Mytilus edulis: one gene and its partner. The protein of the gene in region 2 interacts with the protein of the main gene of each other region in a pairwise test. Links are inferred from orthologs where the notes say so. Each region holds a gene or a part of one and is shown on either strand. Other genes may lie near its edges.

Region 1 (10,503 bases), about 82 Mb from region 2:
TAAGTAGTTAAAATAGGGGTCATTTCTGACAGAGCTATTCCAACTTACCAGTTATATAAGACAACATCAATCCTGGTATATAATGGCCCAGTACAGCCAGTGATATGAAGAAAATACAGCTTACAATACAAAACTGTAACAAGAAATAAGCATCATTTTTTTATTATAGCATTGGGGTTAAAATACATCATTATTATGCTGTGCATGGGATTTTTTTCAGGGCATAATATAGATGTAAAGAAGATCACTTATAATATTATATACATGTATTAAACAATTTGAAGGAACCCAAATCACCATTCTTTTTTTTTTTTAAAGTTATGATACAAAAAATGTAGTACTAAAAGTTGGTATGTTGTTGGCCCATCACATTATATTCACATAGTAAGTGATCTATTTTGGAGGTAAAAGTTGTTGCCTTACATGTACAGTGCATGCAGAGTGGGAGTGACTTCAAACTCTTTTCACCGATTTCAGTGTATAGCGGTGTGACACCGCGAATCACAGATACTACTTCAAATTTCCTCAAACTTTTTTTTTCACAAAACCAAAAGGCTGTTAATTGGTTTATTGCCCATTGGACGTACTAAAAATTAACAACAACTTTTAAAATCAATTATACTGATATATATATATATACATTATAGCAATGTTGTGATTGTAATTCCACCTTTGACTGTGTGCTTTAATTATGTGATTTACTTAAAGTCCTATGAAACAAGTTTTTTGAAATTTTATTTTCAAGATATTATTGAACAAATGCATGAACGTCTACTAAATGTCCTCTTAGAGTAAGGGAAGACAACAATTCAATAGCTGTACATTTCTGAAGATTTTGATATCATAAGATGAGAGATTTTCTTTTACCAGAAAGTCCATGTACACTTGCTTTCTTAAGTAAAATTTAGACATTCAAGTATATAAAACATATTTAAATTTTTTTTAAATTTGAAATTTCATGACTTTAATTTAATTCAACTCAATAAATGCTGTGTGCTGAATATTTCAAGAAGAAAATGTGTTTGTGGCTTTTTCAAAATGTGTGAAACTTAAATATACTTTCTGGAGCCAGAATTTCAACAGAATTATGAAAATATATTTCTGATGACAACTGGACCATTTAATATATTTTTTACTAAAAGATTTTAATGGCAACTATTAGGTTCAAAAGTTATACATGTAATATCAAATGAAACAACTTACCAAAAATCTGTAATTTCTTCTAAAAGACAGGCAACTATTTACAACTTTAGCAAAAGAGCACCATATTTGAGCAAGATATTTACATATTTCTGGCACACTCAGTAAACGAGGGTGAACAGGTGTCCAGCTAAAAAATATAAAACACTGTGACAGTCAATCAATAGTTGAGTAAGTAAAACTTTACTATGAATTTAGATGTTGACAAACATTTGAACATTATATGTCATTTGTTGATGTGTAATATACTTGTTTTTCATTCATTTTTTGGTACACAGATTAGGCCATTAGTTTTTTTTCGTTTGAACTATTTTACATAGGTCATGTTGGGGCCTTTTAAAGCTCACTATGCGGTATGGACTTTACTCACTATTGAAGGCCTTATGGTTACCTATAGTTGTTGATTTATGTGTCATTTGGTCTTTTGTAGAGAGTTGTATCATTGGCAATCTTACCACATCTCTTTTTTTATATTTTCACTGAATATAAAAACATATACATGATATACATGAACAATAAAATCCTATTCAATGTACATTGTAGAGGTAATATATTACCTGAATATTCTGAATATCATTTAACCCTATACATTTGTACATATTTTGACAACTGATTAAATAATTCGCATTGATACCGACAGACTGAAAGCTCAGAAAAAAATCCCTTAAGAAAAATGTAAAGGTAAAGAAAGCAACATTTAGACTATTGAAATTAGCGTGCAGCTTCAAATGAAAAGTAGGTCACTCTTACCTATATTATACAATTCATTGACATCATTTGTGTTGTTACATATATTAGAATTCAGAATTAAGCTACATAAACCTCAATGGATTAACAGTAATTTTTTACAAAAGTCTGTAAGATGTCAGAACAATCTCAGACAAACAAGTACAGGCTCATGTTTAAAAATTGAATGTGCCCAGTTACGAAATTCATTCTCAACCAGTCCTTTCATGTGCAATTTGTTATTTTTATAGATTATGGATGTTGTCATTCAAAATTTAAACTACAAAAAAAATGCAAGTATTCCTTAGTCATTGTACTTATTGTGATAAAACTACAAATATTGATCTTCATTTTTTTTTAATTTGACATTTGTGTAAATGTGTAACTCCACCAATAGTGTACAAACCTGTCTGGGTCCTCAGGCTCTTTTGGTGGAACTGAAAAAAAAACATGGAAAATTAATTGAGTTTGGTGTCTTAATATTTAACAGGAGGCTGTGCCAATTGCAGTGGGACATGTACATGTAGTTATAAGCTATTTAATTTATATGTAGTTCCTTGGACAGCCTTTAGACTATTCACATGCAATGACCCACAACAATTTGAAAATATGTTATCTGAGTGCTGATATATATATAATTATATAACTTAAGCATTGTGCAGTAAAACCAATGAGCAATAGATACTTGTAATTCTTCCCCAAATTGACATCCTTAACTTAATTATTAATCATGTTAATACTGATTGAAAGCTGATTACAATATGTGTGTAGTCAGGATGTTTATTTGATTGTCAAATGTATATTTTGACAACTTAAAGCTGGGAAGCTTAATTGTTTGGATTTATCAAGAATCAAGAAATCAAACAATAAAAAATAAAGTTTTGACTTTGAATTCACAGTTGAACTGTATATATTAGGTATGCATATTGTTTCAGCTCAACATGTACATGTAAATTTAGGGTTACAATTATTTAACATGTCTGCTTTATCATGTTTATATCTGAATATATATAGGTACCTCTAATCTCTGGCCATATCTTTCTCTTCCAAGTCCGTACAAAATATGAAATTATCAATCCTGTACTGATAAGAAAATAAATTCTGCCACCAAATACTGTAAAAAACCTACAAAATTATATCAAAGACTCAGTATTATTCATCTGTACAAGTATTAGTTTGGTAAGACTATATAACTCCTTGGTACATTTGTACCTAAGCTTAGACTTGTAATCAAAAGGCAGACGATTCCAAAGAGCTATCAAAGGACAAACCTGTCGCAAAATGTTAACCAGTGTCAAAAATAATTGTCTTTCATTTTTTCAATTACAATCTATATCTGTTTATTGGTTCTACTCCTATCAACATAACCAAGCTAACTACGGTCTTTTAATTTACTTTCACTAAAGTAACCAAATAAACTTTGTAAATATCAATAATAATTTTAAATCATCTAATCACAAAAATAATTTCTTTTGAACATGATAAAAATTCACGAATTATATTTAAGGAAATACATAAATACACCCATATGAAAATCATCCACTTGTTCAACTAGAATTTGAATAAGAATAGGGTGCAAACAGACCTAAGGGGCAAACAGGCAGGATGCAAATGTTTTGGGAGCAAATGGACCTTATGGATAATCATGATAATACCTGTTTAAAATAAAACGTAACATAACAAATTAATGAGAGCAAATATAAATTTAGGTAAATTTTCCAAGGTTGAACAGGTAAAAGAACCAACAGAACAAAGGCAACCATGAATGTGGCTATTGTACAGACTCTAGAAATTGGAATTTTGTCCTGTTTGACCTCGCATTGCATGATGCATTTTAACGTCCTCTGTTATTCATGTTGTTTACCAAATGAAACACCTAGCTTCAAATTATTTGCAATCCTTGGCTTCTTCATTTTGAAAGCCACATATCAGTTCATGCCAAATGCTATTGTTAAGTCAGTTCTTACCAAAATATAGCATGAATAATAATAAATAACACTGCACTTCTTCTTGGACTTTCCCACACAAGTAGACTTTGAATTTGCATTACAAAAGGTTCAATCGGACTTAGAATGTTTTTCAATATTTGTTCACTGTGTCTATTTAAACTATCTCCATTGAGTACCATAGGGTTATCCATATTGCTTGATTTGACCCAGTAAATTGCTGTTTATGTTTGTCAACAAACAGATGCCATTTTTGTTTTGGAAATGACGTATTCTGATCATGTGACTACGACTTATAAAAATGTTTAAATTTGTAAATCAAACAAGATTTATTATTTATATCGTTGAACAACGATTTCAATTTATATAAATGTATAGACATTTGGATTGTTGTACTGTAACTGACCAGTCGGCCTAACCTGGAAAAATAAGAAAAAAATGTTAAAAGTGTGATCAGTTACGGAAAAGTATAAATCCGGTTTTATGACTGCTTTTTATCTATTTTAAGGGTGAGCTCGACTTCAATCTTGAGTATGATTGTGAGTTGTCGGATCAAAGGTGACTGGTCGACTCGGGGGTTCTCCCCGGCTTCTCATTCACCTTTGTTTATTATTGGATGTAAGAAGATGTGATGATAGTTGATCATAAATGTATTTATTAAAGTTGAGCATACACGTGTTTTCTGTTATGTAAACAATCACACGTGAGTGAGTGTCCGCATAGCGTTCATCTATTGGTGTTTATATTAAATAAACAGGTTTGTGTTTTAAATATATGATATTTCGGATTGGTCAATATTTGTCGCATTGCGTAAATATATTGAGTATGATATCACAGGGACTCGTTTAGCAGATTAAAATTTTGTAAATCAATGTTTTTAATTATTTTTTTTATTATTTCCTGTCTATTTGCATTACTTTATTAACGTATTTAACGTTGCCATCACTATTTCTTTGTTTTCTGGCAATGTGCAGTTTACTATCCATATCCGTATACTGAAAAAAACTATTTTTCAGTATACAGATATGGATAGTAAAACTATTTTTCAGTAAACGGATATGGATAGTAAACTGCACTTTCTTTGTTTTCTGGCAATGTGCAGTTTACTATCCATATATCCGTATACTGAAAAATCCTATAGGATTTTTCAGTATACGGATAGTAAAAATCCTATTTTTCAGTATACGGATAGTAAAATGATCCTATTTTTCAGTATACGGATAGTAAAAATCCTATTTTTCAGTATACGGATATGGATAGTAAACTGCACATTGCCAGAAAACAAAGAAATAGTGATGGCAAGGTCAAATACGTTAATAAAGTAATGCAAATAGACAGGAAATAATAAAATAATAAATTAAAAACATTGATTTACAAAATTTTAATCTGCTTACCGAGTCCCTGTGTATGATATTTGTTTTGTATTTATAGCACTGGATTTTTTAAAGCGCGAATAGTTGTCTTGTTTAAGTAATTTAAGATATATTGTCATTCGAATCTCGTATACCGTCTAGTAAGGCAGCTTAGTTTAGGTAAAGATATGTCCGAACCAGTACTCGATTTGAATGAAGAAGATTTGTTAAGGGACCCCTTGCATGGTCAGCCGAACGTCTTAATGCTTCCAATTCACAAGCTAATCAACAAAACCGTGACCTGTAGTAGACACTTTTGGGCTTTTGAAAGACTATTTGGATAAGAAACTTGTTGATTTAAAGTCCGACATTCTGTCAGAGCAAGACAATTTATACAAGAAATACAGAGATGAGGCTAATATTAAATTTAAATCAGAAGGGAACCGGATTCAGTTTCGTTTTAATGAGAATACTATGGATGGTCTTAACAAAATCCACAAGGATCTTTTATCTGTTGCTTTCCCCTTTCTATTTCTTCTATTACTGGTGATTTGGTGGGTTATCTTAAAGAAAGGAACAAACTCGTCAGGATTGCTGATAACTCCACTGGGGGATGGGTTAACTTACGGTTCATGATAGAATATGAAAGTAACGATATCGCCGAAAATGATGAGGACGAGAAAAAGATTCGCCAGGCCGATACTATGGCCCTCAAAAGTATTAAGGAGAAAAAGACCCGCCCTCAGCCGTATACAGCTAGACCTACTCCAGCAGTTGGAAGTATCCCTACTGCCCCTGCTCCTCCTCCAGCTTACGATTTCAGTCGCTATCGTACCAGCACTGCACGGCGTAAGCCGTGCCCCATGGACACCTGTCCCTACTGCAAGCAGTATGGTCACTGGAGAGAAACTGCCCACTCAACTTCAAGTAGCCACAGCTTCTGCACCCAGTTACCAGCCATCCAAACAGCAATGATACAGTTACTGTTAATGATAAGTATCTAGATATAAGTTTGTTATCTTCTAGCTATGAATGCAATAACGACGAACTTGACGAATTTATGTCACAAGTTCATTTTCTTGAAAAATTAGATTTTTCTGCTAGTCATAACTTTAAAGGTAGGCTTGCAAAACGTTACGATTTTTGGGTTAAGATTGGAGCTAGTGATTTTGTTTTAGATACAATTAAAAACGGTTATGTAATGCCATTTTTAGTGCCTCCCCCAGTATGCACATGAAAAACAATAAATCTGCTGTTTCTAACTCAGAATTTGTGGATAAAGCCGTTTTAGAATTAGTTTATTCTGGGTGTGCATATGAAATTCCCTTTACGCCTTCTATTGTTAATCCTTTATCAGTAGCCACCAATAAGTCCGGAAAAAAGAAGTTAATAATAGATCTTTCAATTTTAAATAAATCCGTCAAAAAAGAGAGATTTAAATTTGAAGACTGGAAAACAGCTATTCAATTTTTCAAAAGAGGTTCTTATCTGTTTAAGTTCGATTTAAAATCTGGTTATCATCATTACGACATTTGTGCTCGGCAACAAAAAATTCTTGGTTTTTCCTGGAATAACAAGTATTACTGTTTTTCAGTTTTAGTTTTTGGTCTAGCTTCTAGCCCTTACTTGTTTACTAAATGTTTGAGATCTATGGTCAAATATTGGAGACAAAATTCGATTGATATTGTTTTGTATTTAGATGATGGTTTCGGAATGGCTTCATATTACGAATTATGTCAGAAAGATTCCGAATTTTTGAAAAAGTCACTAAAAGAGGCTGGTTTTGTAGTCAATTTAGAAAAATCTTTTTTTGAACCTTCCCAAAAGTTAGAATGGTTAGGAATCACTTGGGATTCTGCTCAATTCTGCATTTAAATTCCCGAAAGAAGATTAAATAATTTGTTACAATCTATAGATGAAATTTTAGAAATTTTTTTGTTTTTCTCTGCTAGGCAATTAGCTCAAGTGACTGGTAAAATTATTTATTTATCACCAGTGTTCGAGCCTCTGGACTGTTCCACAGACAATGTCGTGTACGGAATTGAATGTACTTTGTGTGGACTACTTTATGTTGGTGAAACTCGACAAACTTTACGTAAAAGGATGAATCAACACCGGTCTGATCATAAAGATCCGCAATTCAGGGTTCTTTATAACCACTTTAATCAACCGGACCATGATCCTTCTTTGTCTATGAAAGTACGAATCATCGAGAAAATTTATCACCACACAAATAGCCCTGTACTTAGTACTCCTTTTCTAAAAGACTGAGAAAATTTCTGGATAAGGGAACTAGGTACTGCAATGCCATATGGTTGCAATGATAATGTGAAATGAGTAGGAAATTTTTCAAGTCCAGCCTGCAGTGATGTTAATGTAATGAGTTTATTCAATACTACCTTACGAAACCAACGTAGTCATGGACAAAAACGTTACCATCGGCCTAATGTAAAAAAAATCTTCCAAATCTAGATCGCCCTCTAGAAGCTTCGATTGACCTCCTTTCTCATCTTCATCATCCGCTAGGGTTACATTACATTAGAAATATTCTTTTTTCACTACCTGTTAATTTTCTAAAATGTTTGAGAGATTATGCACTTGACAAAGGATGCATAAATACATTTTCTCCATTATACAGACTTGTCAGTATAATTTGTGATGTAGCTCTTTTCCGTCTTTTTAAACCAGTAAGATCGAAACCTTTACATGAGGAAAAGAGAAAATTCCTTCCTGTTTACTTTACCAATAAAGGAATTGATGCAATCAACATCAGCAACGTTCTACATCAAAATGAGGTAACATCTAAAATTCCTATTCATTTTCAAAATCAGTCTGTTCCTATTGTATCCTACAGTTACACCAAAACCATTGAACCATAAATATTTAACTATAAACAAGCATTACAAGACCTTGATTCAGAACAATACCAAAAAAAACCTCTGACATGTGACTATTCCCACCCGCCTTACAATTACAGTCCCACTGGCCATGTTATATTGGGAATCTAAACATAATTCAACATGAAAATCTCCGAAAGGTGATTTCTCATGGTCCTAAGTTTAGAGAACCCCAACACATCAATTGGAACCATAATTTCAAAATAATTATGGATTCCATTGAGGACTACGCCAGAGCATGGGCTAAACGAGAAGAAGTTCAACTGGACACTTTGTCAGAATGGGTCAAAACAATCAGGTCTCTGATAAAACGTCGCATTCATAAGTTGAAAAACTGTGTGAATGATCGACCAAAGTTCGTTTTCAGAGACAAAGAGGCTGTAGAATGTCTATCATGTCTTCAAGAAAAGTATGTTGTTGTCCCTGCGGACAAAGCTTCAAATAATATTGTCTTTGTATACATGTAAATCGTATTACTACGAGTGTCTTGTAATATACTTAGGAATAAATGAGCACTCAGGTAATCCCACATACAAAAACATATCATTTGACAAGGATGAGATTTTGGCGAATCATAAGTCCTTCATGGCTTCAATGAACATTACATTGAACAACAAATCGGAGGACTTACTTAGTTTTTATTTGATACCTAAACTTCACATAATTCCGTAGAAACAACGGTGCATTGCCAGCTCATCTGCATGTTCCACTAAAGAATTGTCCATTAGATTGACTAAAATTCTGTCCGCAGTGAAAGAAAATACTTCAGAAATACTGTGAAACTGTTTACTCGCGTAGTGGTATTAACCATATGTGGATTCTTAAAAACTCTAAAAAAAAACTCCTGGATAATTTTAAATCTCAGTCTTTTTCTGAAATTAGTTCTATCAAAACTTTTGATTTTTCAACCTTGTGTACCACTATTCCCCATGTGAAATTGAAAAACCGTCTAAACATCCACAATGCTTTTCATCATGAAAATGGTAGCATACGCTATAAATTTATTACGTTGGGATACCATAAGGCGTATTTTGTTAATAGTGAACAAAAGGGTAAAATATGCTACACAGAGGAACAAGTGATCAGTATGCTGGAGTTTCTTATTGACAACATATATGTTGAATTTGGAGGTAGACTTTTTCAACAAATTGTCGGCATTCCTATGGGAACGAACTGCGCGCCTCTCCTTGCTGACCTCTTCTTATTTTCATATGAATCGGAGTTCCTTCAGACACTTGTCAAAAACAAGAAGATCAAAGAAGCCAGGTTATTTAATTTCACTTTCAGATATATTGATGTTCTTTCCATTAACAATCCGAACTTTTTTGATTGGGTTGCATTAATATATCCACCAGAACAAGAAATTAAAGAGACAACAGACACGGCTTCCTCCGCCTCATTTTTAGACTTATACCTCGAATTTGACATACACAGTGATCTCAGTACCAGAATCTATGACAAACGAGACGATTTTGATTTTGAAATTATCAATTTCCCACACCTTAGTAGCAATATACCAACTTCACCTGCATATGGAATATACATTTCCCAACTTATTCGGTATTCAAGAGCTTGCAGCTCCTACTCAGACTTTGTAAAACGTCACCAGTGTCTGAGCAGAAAGTTGATGAACCAGGGGTATGTCAAAGAACGTCTCGTCCTTTTTCTAAAAAAAAGTTCATCGGAAGGTACCAAGAACTTGTTGATAAATATTCCGTATCAACTTCACAAATAATACACGAAGGTCTTGAAGTATAGATTTTGCGTACTGACTTGTTTATCATCTTAATAACGTGTTATATTTTTCTTTTATTTGTCTTTATTAATATTACTTTTACTGTTAAGTCTGTTTTTTGAGATATCCTTTTGACGTAACTCTGTGCTTATGTATCCCATCATACTTTGAACGACACAATTATTTTATGATGTTACTCTGTACCTATGTATCTTGTCATACTTTGAATGACAAAATTATTTTATTTATTAATATTACTTTTACTGTTAAGTCTGTATTTTTGTGATATTTTGTTATATCTATTTTACGTGACTGTATTTATGTATCCCGTCATACTTTGAACGACAAAATTATTTCATGTCTACCTGTGCGAATTTCTAACGCACAATTTTACACCAGTACTTAAAACCCTCCATCCTGTATGCCTGGGTGCATTTTACATAGATAAATAAAATCGTATAATATAAGCAAAATGAGGATGTTAAATTTGATGTATGCCTTTTTGTGCTTTTTCGTAACACACAGTGATTAAGATGATAACACAATGTTGACTGCTGTACCCCTATTTTTGACATTAATACCTATTGTGTCTGTTTGTTTTGTTCACGCATCGGTGACAATATAATGGAATTTGATGCGACTGTCAT
Region 2 (9,854 bases):
GGCATGGATTTTTATGGCAATTTGTAGTTCATATCTCTGCAATGTGGAATGGATTTTTGTGGCAGCTTGCTACACATATCTTTGCAATGTGGCCCATTGGTTGTATTTTTATGTGGACTTGCTACACATATCTTTGCAATGTGGCCTATGGGTTGAATTTTTATGTGGAATATAGCTACACATATCTTTACAGTGTAATTTTGGTATTGAGATAACTCACCACATTAATAACTTTGTCAGCACCGGATTCTACTATATTGGGAACATATGCTTTACCCTAAAATATAATATCACATTCATGACATTTCAAATGTAAAAATACTTTGTAATATGCATGATCCCATTGGTTTTCTTCACTACATCATTTGATATACATTGTAGAAGCAATTATTTAAAGTTTATCCTGCATATTGATGATCACAAAATAAGACACTTGATGAACTTTAATCATGTTAATATTGCAAGGGTACAGGCAGGCCTCTGGATTGTGATTAAATAGTTGACAAAGCATAGGTTTCTGACACAGAATGAATGAGGTTTAATGAACTTAAAATTATTTTTTTTTGCTTTTGAGCAAGTCACTATGCTGTTAACCCTTTCATGCCGAATGTATCCTTTTGGCACACCCGCGCGCATGCCGAATGTATCCTTTTGGCACCCCCGTGTAGATGCCGAATGTATCCTTAAGGATACATAGATTTCTATTTTTAGACGGTCACAGTGCAAACAGTAAAAATAACGTTTAAACATGTTTCTTGGCCCCGTTGCTCCATGGATGTTATGATAAACACCAAATGCATTCGATATTTTAGTATCGGGCGTAAAAACACTGTTAAAATATGTTTTTTCAAAGATTGTTGAGAAAAAAAAACCTCGTGAAAAACAAAATGGCGGAATCATAAACAATCGTGGTCAGGAGTTTCATTTCGAGTTGAAACATTGAGAAAACTTAACCTGCGGTCATGAAAGTCGTTTAAATTGAACAAAAGTAGTGATTGTATGTATATTTTGGAGTTGTGAGAAGGATATTTGTAAAACAACCTGAAATCGAGACTTTGATTGTCGCCATCAGGTGCACGACTGTAAATAATTATTTCTCGTTGCCGTTTGACAGTCAACCTTTCATTACCGATTGAGTCAGAGTCTTTTATCATCGTTTTAGACACTCTCAGGAGTCTGTAGTGTTACGGGTTTTATTCTTTTCATTGAAAGGCTGTACTGCAGTATGTAGGTCGACAAAACGAAAGTCCACTTTTATTTTAAATAGAACCGGATATTGACAAAATTGACAGCTGAGTCTATAAATAGTGCGGTTCATAAAAACACGTGTTGTTACATCTCATAGATTTATTATTTTACATAAAAGTGGTTTCGAAAGATGAGACAATATTCTGCAATCTTATTCGTATTTTAATCGAGTGTAAATTATTTTCCATGATGTATCTCGTCTTGTGACAGAGGTTTTTAAAAGTCTTGTTCAGCATACAAAAATTTTAAAAGTTGTTTTGAAAAACAAATAATGTTGACAGAGAGTAAAAAAATCCTGAAAGATGCCAAGATGATTATTTTATGTAACAAATTGTTTTCTTTCTCATTTAAAAAAAAACATTGTCAAAGAAGGGAAGTGAAAAAAATTATATTTGTTTTAGAAGGGAAGGGAATTTTTTTTTTTTTTTTTTGAGAATTGGAAAGGGGGAAAAAAAAAAATTTTTGCTGGAGGGAAGTGATTTTTTTCCCCAAAGTGAAATAACATAAGGTGTTGTCTGTTGCTTCTGATTAATCTTGAGATGGCATCATTTATTATTGTAAAATAATACTGTTCCTGTATGTTTCTGAAAACAATATAGGGGTTAAATTTTTTGTTATGGAAATTATGAGGAAGAACTCCCCCTCATGTAGCACACTAACACAAAAGATGAATGACCAGTGCGGCAGTGCCTAAAGTTTATTACAATTTGTAATGCCAATATAAGCAACCATTTTTAACACTAGGAAACATCTTTTTTGTGTTCAAAAAGGGACTTCAAATGGTATATAAATTGCTTCTTCTCTCAGATGCCAAGTCATATACATGTAGTAGTAAGGAGTAAGAGAAAAAACTGATCAAATTGGAAATGGGATAATGGGACCACATTAGGGTCTTGTAGCTGTCACCTTGCAAGTCAGCTTCTTAAATTAACACTGTTTATGGGACTAGTACACATAAGCAGGTATCTTCATACCACATTAATATATAGGCTTATATGTAAGTAACACTTGCTGCTGGATGTAAAAGATTAATTAATAGACTGGTAACAATGGTTATAGTATAACAACCTCACTCAAGTAATTTTTATTCACTTTTTGACAAACCATTCCATTAAATAACCCAACAATATAAACAGAAAATAAAAAAAAATAGTTTCCATTGTCCTCACTCAATTTTAAAATCAAAATTTATGATATGAATCCTCCTATTCAATGAGTATGCAGCATTATAAACTAAAACAAATTTCATAGCTTCCAAATGTTATTACAAACTATATCATGCAGCTCCCTGGTGTAGCTTTCCATCAATGAATTTTAAAACTGCATTTTGCAGTAAAACATGTACATGATGTATTTTAATCCCTTTTTTGCAATAGTTTTCAACGACTTGCATCTGTGTCTACATATCATGAGTTTAAATAAAACAGTACCCAGTAGTTGTCTGCATATATTATCTTCTTTACCTCTACTGAATATGATTAATAAATTTAACTATGATGAAAATAAATTTATAAAATATTAATTGCCAGCTTTTAGTATTTATTTGTGCTGCTTTAACAAACATCAGTTGATGTATTTGTCAATTTTATGTTGTCTTATACATCCTAAATTTTGACTACAAAGTTCAAATTTAATTTCAACAATTTTCAAAAAAAAAAAATTCACTAGGCTCTTTATCTTGAGATACAGCTGAATATTTGCTTATTTGTAGTACATATATTAATGCTTAAACATTTTTTTTATATTATACAACCCCCATGACCCAAATCAAATTTATTGGAAATTTCATGGATTTAGAACTTTAAAAAAAAAATCACTTTTTGGGTTCATTTATTTTATCTATTGGAAAGCTTTATCTCATTCACATGTGGAAGAATTAAGGCATTACTGGGGTTAAGTCATAAAGTAATGAAGTCCCATCAATTATTATTGCAGTTAACAATTATTTTTAATTAGTTCAGTAATCGCACATCAACGCTGGGGGTATTATACAACTCGTCTCGAAGAGTTATTGTCCGTTATCGAGCCCGAGTTATCTTTCTTCTTTCGAAACCGTAAACAAATGGCGGCCAAAATCTACGTGAACGACAGTCTCGATTTACAAGTATTATTGCCAAGAAAACGAAAACGGAAACGGGTTTTGAAAGAAAATAATTCAGTAGCTCATAGAAATAGAATTTTGAAACACACGTGTGCTTAAGAAATGTTGCCGAATGGAAGTGAAAGTGATATACGGTAGGCAATGACAAAAATTATCTTCCGATTCAATCAATCAACGTTTTCGACACGCGTTTTTAAGGTAAACTGCTTTTCACTCTATGAAAAGGTTACGGACGCTCAACCTATGATATTTATCTACATTTTATCAAAATTTGACCGCACAACTCGCTACAGTTCCCGAGTTTTCAATGACCAAAACTACGAGGTCGTTTTTGCTGAAGCACATGTGAAATTAATCCCGGTCAGGCAAACGGCTCGTGCAAATAAATTTCGGCCAGGGAATCCCGCGAAAAAAATAAATTCAGTAGTGAAAGTGTTAATATAAATCCTCTCAAAAATAAAATATTTGAAGAAATTTTCTTTTTAATTTCTGAAATCTAAAATGAGAAAAATTGCAACAATTTCCGGTCTTGTTTGCATGAGACTTTGAATAAAATGTATATTTGTTAACATATCAACAAATATAGGAAGGAATTCAAATGAAAAAAACGTTACCTGGATAACAGCGTTTCTTTGTTTACATTGAATATGACGTCACAACTAAATCCCTAACAACAGAACCAAAATCGGAAACGTTACAGTACTTCCGTTTCTTTTATCAACATGTTTGAATTAAAAAAAAAAAATAATAGACTTCATCCCCATTCACAGGTAATACCTGCCTCATATTACTAAAGTTCTTATCCGGAAAACATCTGTCTTTGGACAACGCTGACGACAACGTGATACCAAAAATTTTTGCAGTCGTGTAATAACAAGATCTTCATTTAGATAATTAAATCACTAGTCGACGACTGGTCCCAAGAGGAATACAAGTTTTAGTCCCAGATTACTCTGACGTCCAACAGCTGTTTTGCCAGACAAGCTGGGGCCGTTGGAAAGAGCACATAGTCATCAATATTATGATGGAGTGCGGAAACTAAAAGAAGAGAAGAAGAATCTCGGACTATACAAGTTTGTGAAATCTATTTGTGCAGTATGAAACTTTGAACTTGTAAACCTAAAATATTTGAATAATTTATGATTAATCACCTGATGGGTATCATCACTGTGTTTTCTAAATAACCGAGGTCCCCTACAACATCTGTATAGATTGTATATTTGCCGAATTAATGACATTTTGCTTGTTCAACAAAACATCTCTAATGAGTCAATGTCAACTATGTTTATATTGAGAAAGGATGAAAACACATAGTTTCAAACTCTTCAATAACCAAGAAAAGGAAAATTCGGGTTTGCACATCATATTTAATGTAAAGTCTAGAGAATTTCGAAAAGATAACGACACTTAGATCGGTTGTATGTTTTTTCAAGGGAAAATATCAAATACAAATTCAAACACTAATACCATCAAAAAATGAACTTTCCAGAATCGAAAGTGAAAGTTGGATAGACCAATTTGCCTCTTTGTGCCTCTCTCACAACCGAAATTCAATAATTCCCTTAGTTTAAACATGGAAAAACAAATTGAAGAAGTAAGTATATGATGTTCACTCCCATCCACTTGTAGTTACACGCTTTACTGCAGAATTTTTTACACGTGCCATTTTTATAAAATTTTGGTTTCGGTTTGATATTGATAGTGCATGGCACCCCCCCTCCCCCCTTTTTTTTTTTAAAACAAAAGATAACAGAACAGTTCATATATTTTTTTTTAAAATCAATATTAAAATTATTTGAATCTCCTTGTCCAAAATCAATATTAAAATTTGTGTCTCTTTGTCCAAATTAAAAAAAAAAAACAAGGAAAAGACCAACAGATGAACAATACACCTTATCGCTATTTGTCCGCCATTACTGGATATCACACAGGTTCCCGTAAAATTTTGATGTCTTAAAAAAAATATCTGACGCCACAATGGAAAAGTGATTGTTGTATGCATCAAAAGTTCAAGCGGCCGGGTCAGCAGGGATTAGCGATAAGGTGTATAGTACACAAACACAATATAGAAAAATAAACTTTTACTAAAAACCTTGCAACACTAACCCAGGTGCTCTTGAAGGGTAAGCAGATCCTAGCTGCTACACATGTGGCACCACCAACGGGATAAAAACTATACCAAACTTGACTATCACAGTAGAGCTTCTCTCAAAGAGATAAGCGACAGGAATGCAATGCATTTTCCTCATTGTTCCTAATTTTTTGAAAAGGGATGTTTTGAGTCGGAATAAACGCTCTCTTCGAGAGAAACTCTACTGTGATAGTCGAGTTTGGTATAGTTTTACCCCGTTATTCATAGGATTTTAAACTCCTGTGATAAAACATATCTGCTATCATCTGAGAAACAGATTTTCCATTACAGTCAACCAACTTGTAATCATAAAATTTACAAAGGGGTCAACTTCACCATTTTGAACTTTGGGTTTCATGGCTTAACTCCTAGTGTATATTTGAGGGAAGAAATACCTTTACTGTCATTTTTCAAATGGTAATTTTCGGTTAACATTAACCATTGTTAACATTAATAGGTTAAAATTTATCTGGATTCTTCAAAATATACTTATCATGATTCATGATTCTTTAGAGCTCTGAGGTTCTCATATGATTATCTGTTTCTGTTAATTTCAGAAACGATTTATTGTGATTCACCAAAAGCATTAATTTTTTTTTATTGTCATGATTGTCATAAAGAAAATACACATTTTATCGTTATGCACCAAAAATTACTGTAAGTCAATTGGCAAGTTTTTTTTTATTATTTATTTGGTTTGAAGGTACCCCTATGATGACCCTCATATTTATAAGGCCTGGGACTATTATACTAACTGTTTACAGAATGACAGTGATGTTTAAAATAAAGTTTTCATGTATTATATGTATCTTTCTTTATTTTCAATTTCTTTATTAGTTGAAGAGTGATATTGAAGAAATTAATAGTTTACTAGAATCTGCTTGTCGAACACGAGTTAAAGATCTTCTTGGTTTGGATAAAAGAAAATTGGAAACTGAGTTAATACAAAAACAGGATCGCCTAAAAAGTTCAACAGAACAAAAATCAATACCAGGAACAACAGTGAAACCAAAGACAGGACCTTACACAGTCACAATACATACCTATGGTGAGTAATGAATGTTCTTATCAAAATATTAAAGGAGATGCAGTATGATTGCCAATAAGACAACTATCCCCTATTATTAGTAATGGATGTTCCTAGCTCATTCTTAAAATCCAACCTTTCATTAAAAAATCAGTATGACAATCTGTACATTTTCATGCAAATGTTTTGTACAGTCAATGACTATATATAAATATCATGTAGAACCATTCCAGATTTAAACTTAAATTTTTTACAACGTTTCTTTTTCAAAATGTTTTTCAAATTGTAAATAGATATAAAAGCTGTTTCCTAAATTAAATGAAGGCTAAATTGTTTCTAAAAAAAACAAAAGTTCTATGATTTTGACAAAAGACAAATGAATTTAGCAAGGATTAAAAAGTATTTTTATGATTTTTGAATTCCTTTCAGCATGGGATCAATCAGAAAAGTTTATGAAACTGTATGTCACCTTGAAAGGTGTACAATCTTTACCTAAAGATCAAATTACCACTCAATTCACAAAAAGGTAAGGCTAAGGATAATGCTATAGTTTTGAATGACCTAAATATCTACGGAACATATTTAAAACTTAAAATGAACAAGGGTCCTCTTTAAAGAATGAGGAATACAGTCATGACAATAACTGTTCCGAATCAAACATAGAAGCTACTGTACTTAAAGTGTCTTTCTTGATTAAACTAGCTAACATGTATGCTCAAAGCTAATTTTTTCCTATAAATACTGTGGATTCATTATTATTCATTGGATACTAAGTTCCTTGGGTTTCCTTGGTTTCGTTGGAACAGTTGAACCACAGATTTAAATATTCAATGAATTACAAATTTTCTTAAAGTCTTTCTACATATTGTATGCACAGATGGGCAAAACAAAGAAATCAAGTATCGACAAAAATGCAAGGTTTCCACAATCCACGAAAATTGGTACCAACGAAAACAAATGAATCCACAGGAAAATGTACTAGGAATATCAATTTTATAACAGTTTGTACTTTAGTACTTACGGTAATAGGTCAACAGGTACTGCCATAGAAAAATAGGTCAACAGGTACTGCCATAGAAAAATAGGTCAACAGGTACTGCCATAGAAAAATACATGTGTTTGCTTATTTAAAGGGACAAAAAAATGAAAATCAATTTATATGCTAATAAGATGAATATCTTCAAAAAAGTGCATATATCAAAGAAGGAATAAGAGATGCTCTGTTCCCACTTCATACTTACCATTTATACAATGGGAGGTGTTCTATGTAAAAAGTAAAATCACAAAAATACTGAAAATTCAAAATGAAAAGTCCTTAATCAAATGACAAAATCAAAAGATCAAACACAACGAACAAATGGATAACAACTGTCATATCCCTGACTTGGTACATGCATTTTCTATTGTTTAACCTTGTTTTATAGCTCACTTGTATGGCAGTCACATACAATTACACTAGATTGACAAAGATGTGTGTAAAATGAAGGTTTGACACAAACAAATATAATTCATCAGTTTTTGAAAACGATTTCTCATGGAAGATTTTTTTCATTTTCCAGAACCATCAGATTAAATGTGAACGACTTGGATGGTAAAAATCATGAACTTTATATTTCCAAACTTTTTGAGGATATACAACCCAGTGAAAGTTTTTTCAAGGTAAAATTAGAAGTTGGATATTTATATCAATCAGTTTATCAATAATATACATTTTGTACAGGTAAACTCAGGTAAATACAGGAAGGTTATACATATTGCACTTAGTCCTTGAAATATTCACAGATAAAATGGTAAAATTAAGAATCCACAAAAGACAAAAATACTTTTAGTACATGGATGGTCATGGATGTGCTGAATAAAATTGCTCATTGTAGTGAGCACGGAATGATTCTTGGTTGTTTGTAGGTAGCCTGCATTCTGCTTACGGTAGCAATGCTCAAAGGGGGATAGGCAATCTGCTGAAATACCTTTGGGATTATTTATGGTGCATTGACATAAAATATTCCAGATTTTAGAGTTCTGTGTGTTATTGTACACTAATGATATTTTACTCTAACTTGTTTCTGCCAATAACTTCAGTCATATTTATTATGATTATCCTGTTTTTAACCTGTGATACCTGTGAAATGAATGAAATTAAGGTATGAATGCTTGTGTGTAAAGAGATATGACAATTTTGTATTCCATTATTACAGATTAAAACAGACACTGTCCTGGTAATGATGAGAAAGGACAATACAAAAACCTGGTCACATGTCACCCAGCGAGAACATAAAGAAAAGGAAGCCAAAAAGTAAGACATACTATTTTTTATTCATTTTGCTTTACTCATAATTCCATCTTTTATCCATCTTTTTTACATTTTTTTGTATTGCCTGCTATAAAAGTCATGAAATTCAAAACCATGATTAAGCAAAATGAAAACTTGGCAACTTATATATTGATAAAATATTTATTAAGAATTTTGTGTCTAATATTGTTCAATAAACGTTTTATGTACTAAATGTTGCATTATAATGTCCGTCCTTACTTCCAAAAATAAGTTTCTATTCTCTAACTTTAGTTTGCCTGAATTTAGTGATTTAACTTTTACACATTACTTATTAGCACAAACACAGATCAAGTTTGAATTTTGGTGATGTCACTATTACTGTTAGTTATGCCCCTGTTCAAATGGAAAAAATACTGATTCTCTCGTTTCCTTTTTCTAACTTAATGCTTCTTATCACAAAACTCAGATCAAGTACAAAGTTAGGTATCGTCACTTCTACCATTTTTGAGTTATGTCCCATTATAACAATTATATGCCAGCTGGGGCATTATCTTTGTCCCATTTACACATTCCCCATTTATTTAAGATTTACTGAAACAATAAGAGATAATTAAGTACAAGTTCATTATTGAAGAAAGATATATGTTACATTTGATTTTGCCATGTGATTATGGACTTTCTGAATTGATTTTCGTCTAAGTTCAGTATTTTTGTGATTTTACTTTTTACATATGATTCATATACTATATTACAAATTTTTCTACTCTAAATAAAAGAAAGTTTTACGAGGCACTTTTTCATCTATTTTTTATGCTTGTTTTAAATTAAAAAATCAATCTGAATCAAAGTTTATGTTGACTTATTTGTTTCAGACCGAAAGTGGATGAAAATGCTGATCCTAATGACAGTTTGATGACCATGATGAAACAGATGTATGAAGACGGAGATGACGAGATGAAGAAAACTATAGCAAAGGCATGGAGTGAAAATAGGAACAAACAATCAAAAGACACGGAATAATTCTAATCATCATCACATACATGTACAAATGATTGACAGCAAAAAGAAGCATAGA

The links.
Region 1: the proteins of phosphatidylserine lipase ABHD16A-like (region 2) and reticulophagy regulator 3-like interact in binary tests that used the Homo sapiens proteins (3 or more experiments, as listed by UniProt). The link is inferred for Mytilus edulis from reciprocal best matches to the Homo sapiens genes ABHD16A and RETREG3.

Annotation. Positions count from the first base shown.
Region 1 is NC_092345.1:86,086,078-86,096,580, reverse strand, and holds the start of reticulophagy regulator 3-like, read right to left. Parts: upstream 4,154-10,503; 5' UTR 4,067-4,153; coding exon 3,894-4,066; intron 3,052-3,893; coding exon 2,945-3,051; intron 2,364-2,944; coding exon 2,333-2,363; intron 1,331-2,332; coding exon 1,204-1,330; intron 134-1,203; coding exon 49-133; intron 1-48. UniProt on the Homo sapiens protein: Endoplasmic reticulum (ER)-anchored autophagy regulator which exists in an inactive state under basal conditions but is activated following cellular stress.
Region 2 is NC_092345.1:3,769,249-3,779,102, forward strand, and holds the start of phosphatidylserine lipase ABHD16A-like, read right to left. Parts: upstream 4,659-9,854; 5' UTR 4,588-4,658; coding exon 4,501-4,587; intron 1,195-4,500; exon of another isoform or gene 1,130-1,194; intron 278-1,129; coding exon 221-277; intron 1-220. Other genes in the region: calcyclin-binding protein-like, read left to right, coding at 4,923-4,943, 6,318-6,528, 6,937-7,033, 8,067-8,166, 8,703-8,800, 9,652-9,799. UniProt on the Homo sapiens protein: Phosphatidylserine (PS) lipase that mediates the hydrolysis of phosphatidylserine to generate lysophosphatidylserine (LPS). LPS constitutes a class of signaling lipids that regulates immunological and neurological processes.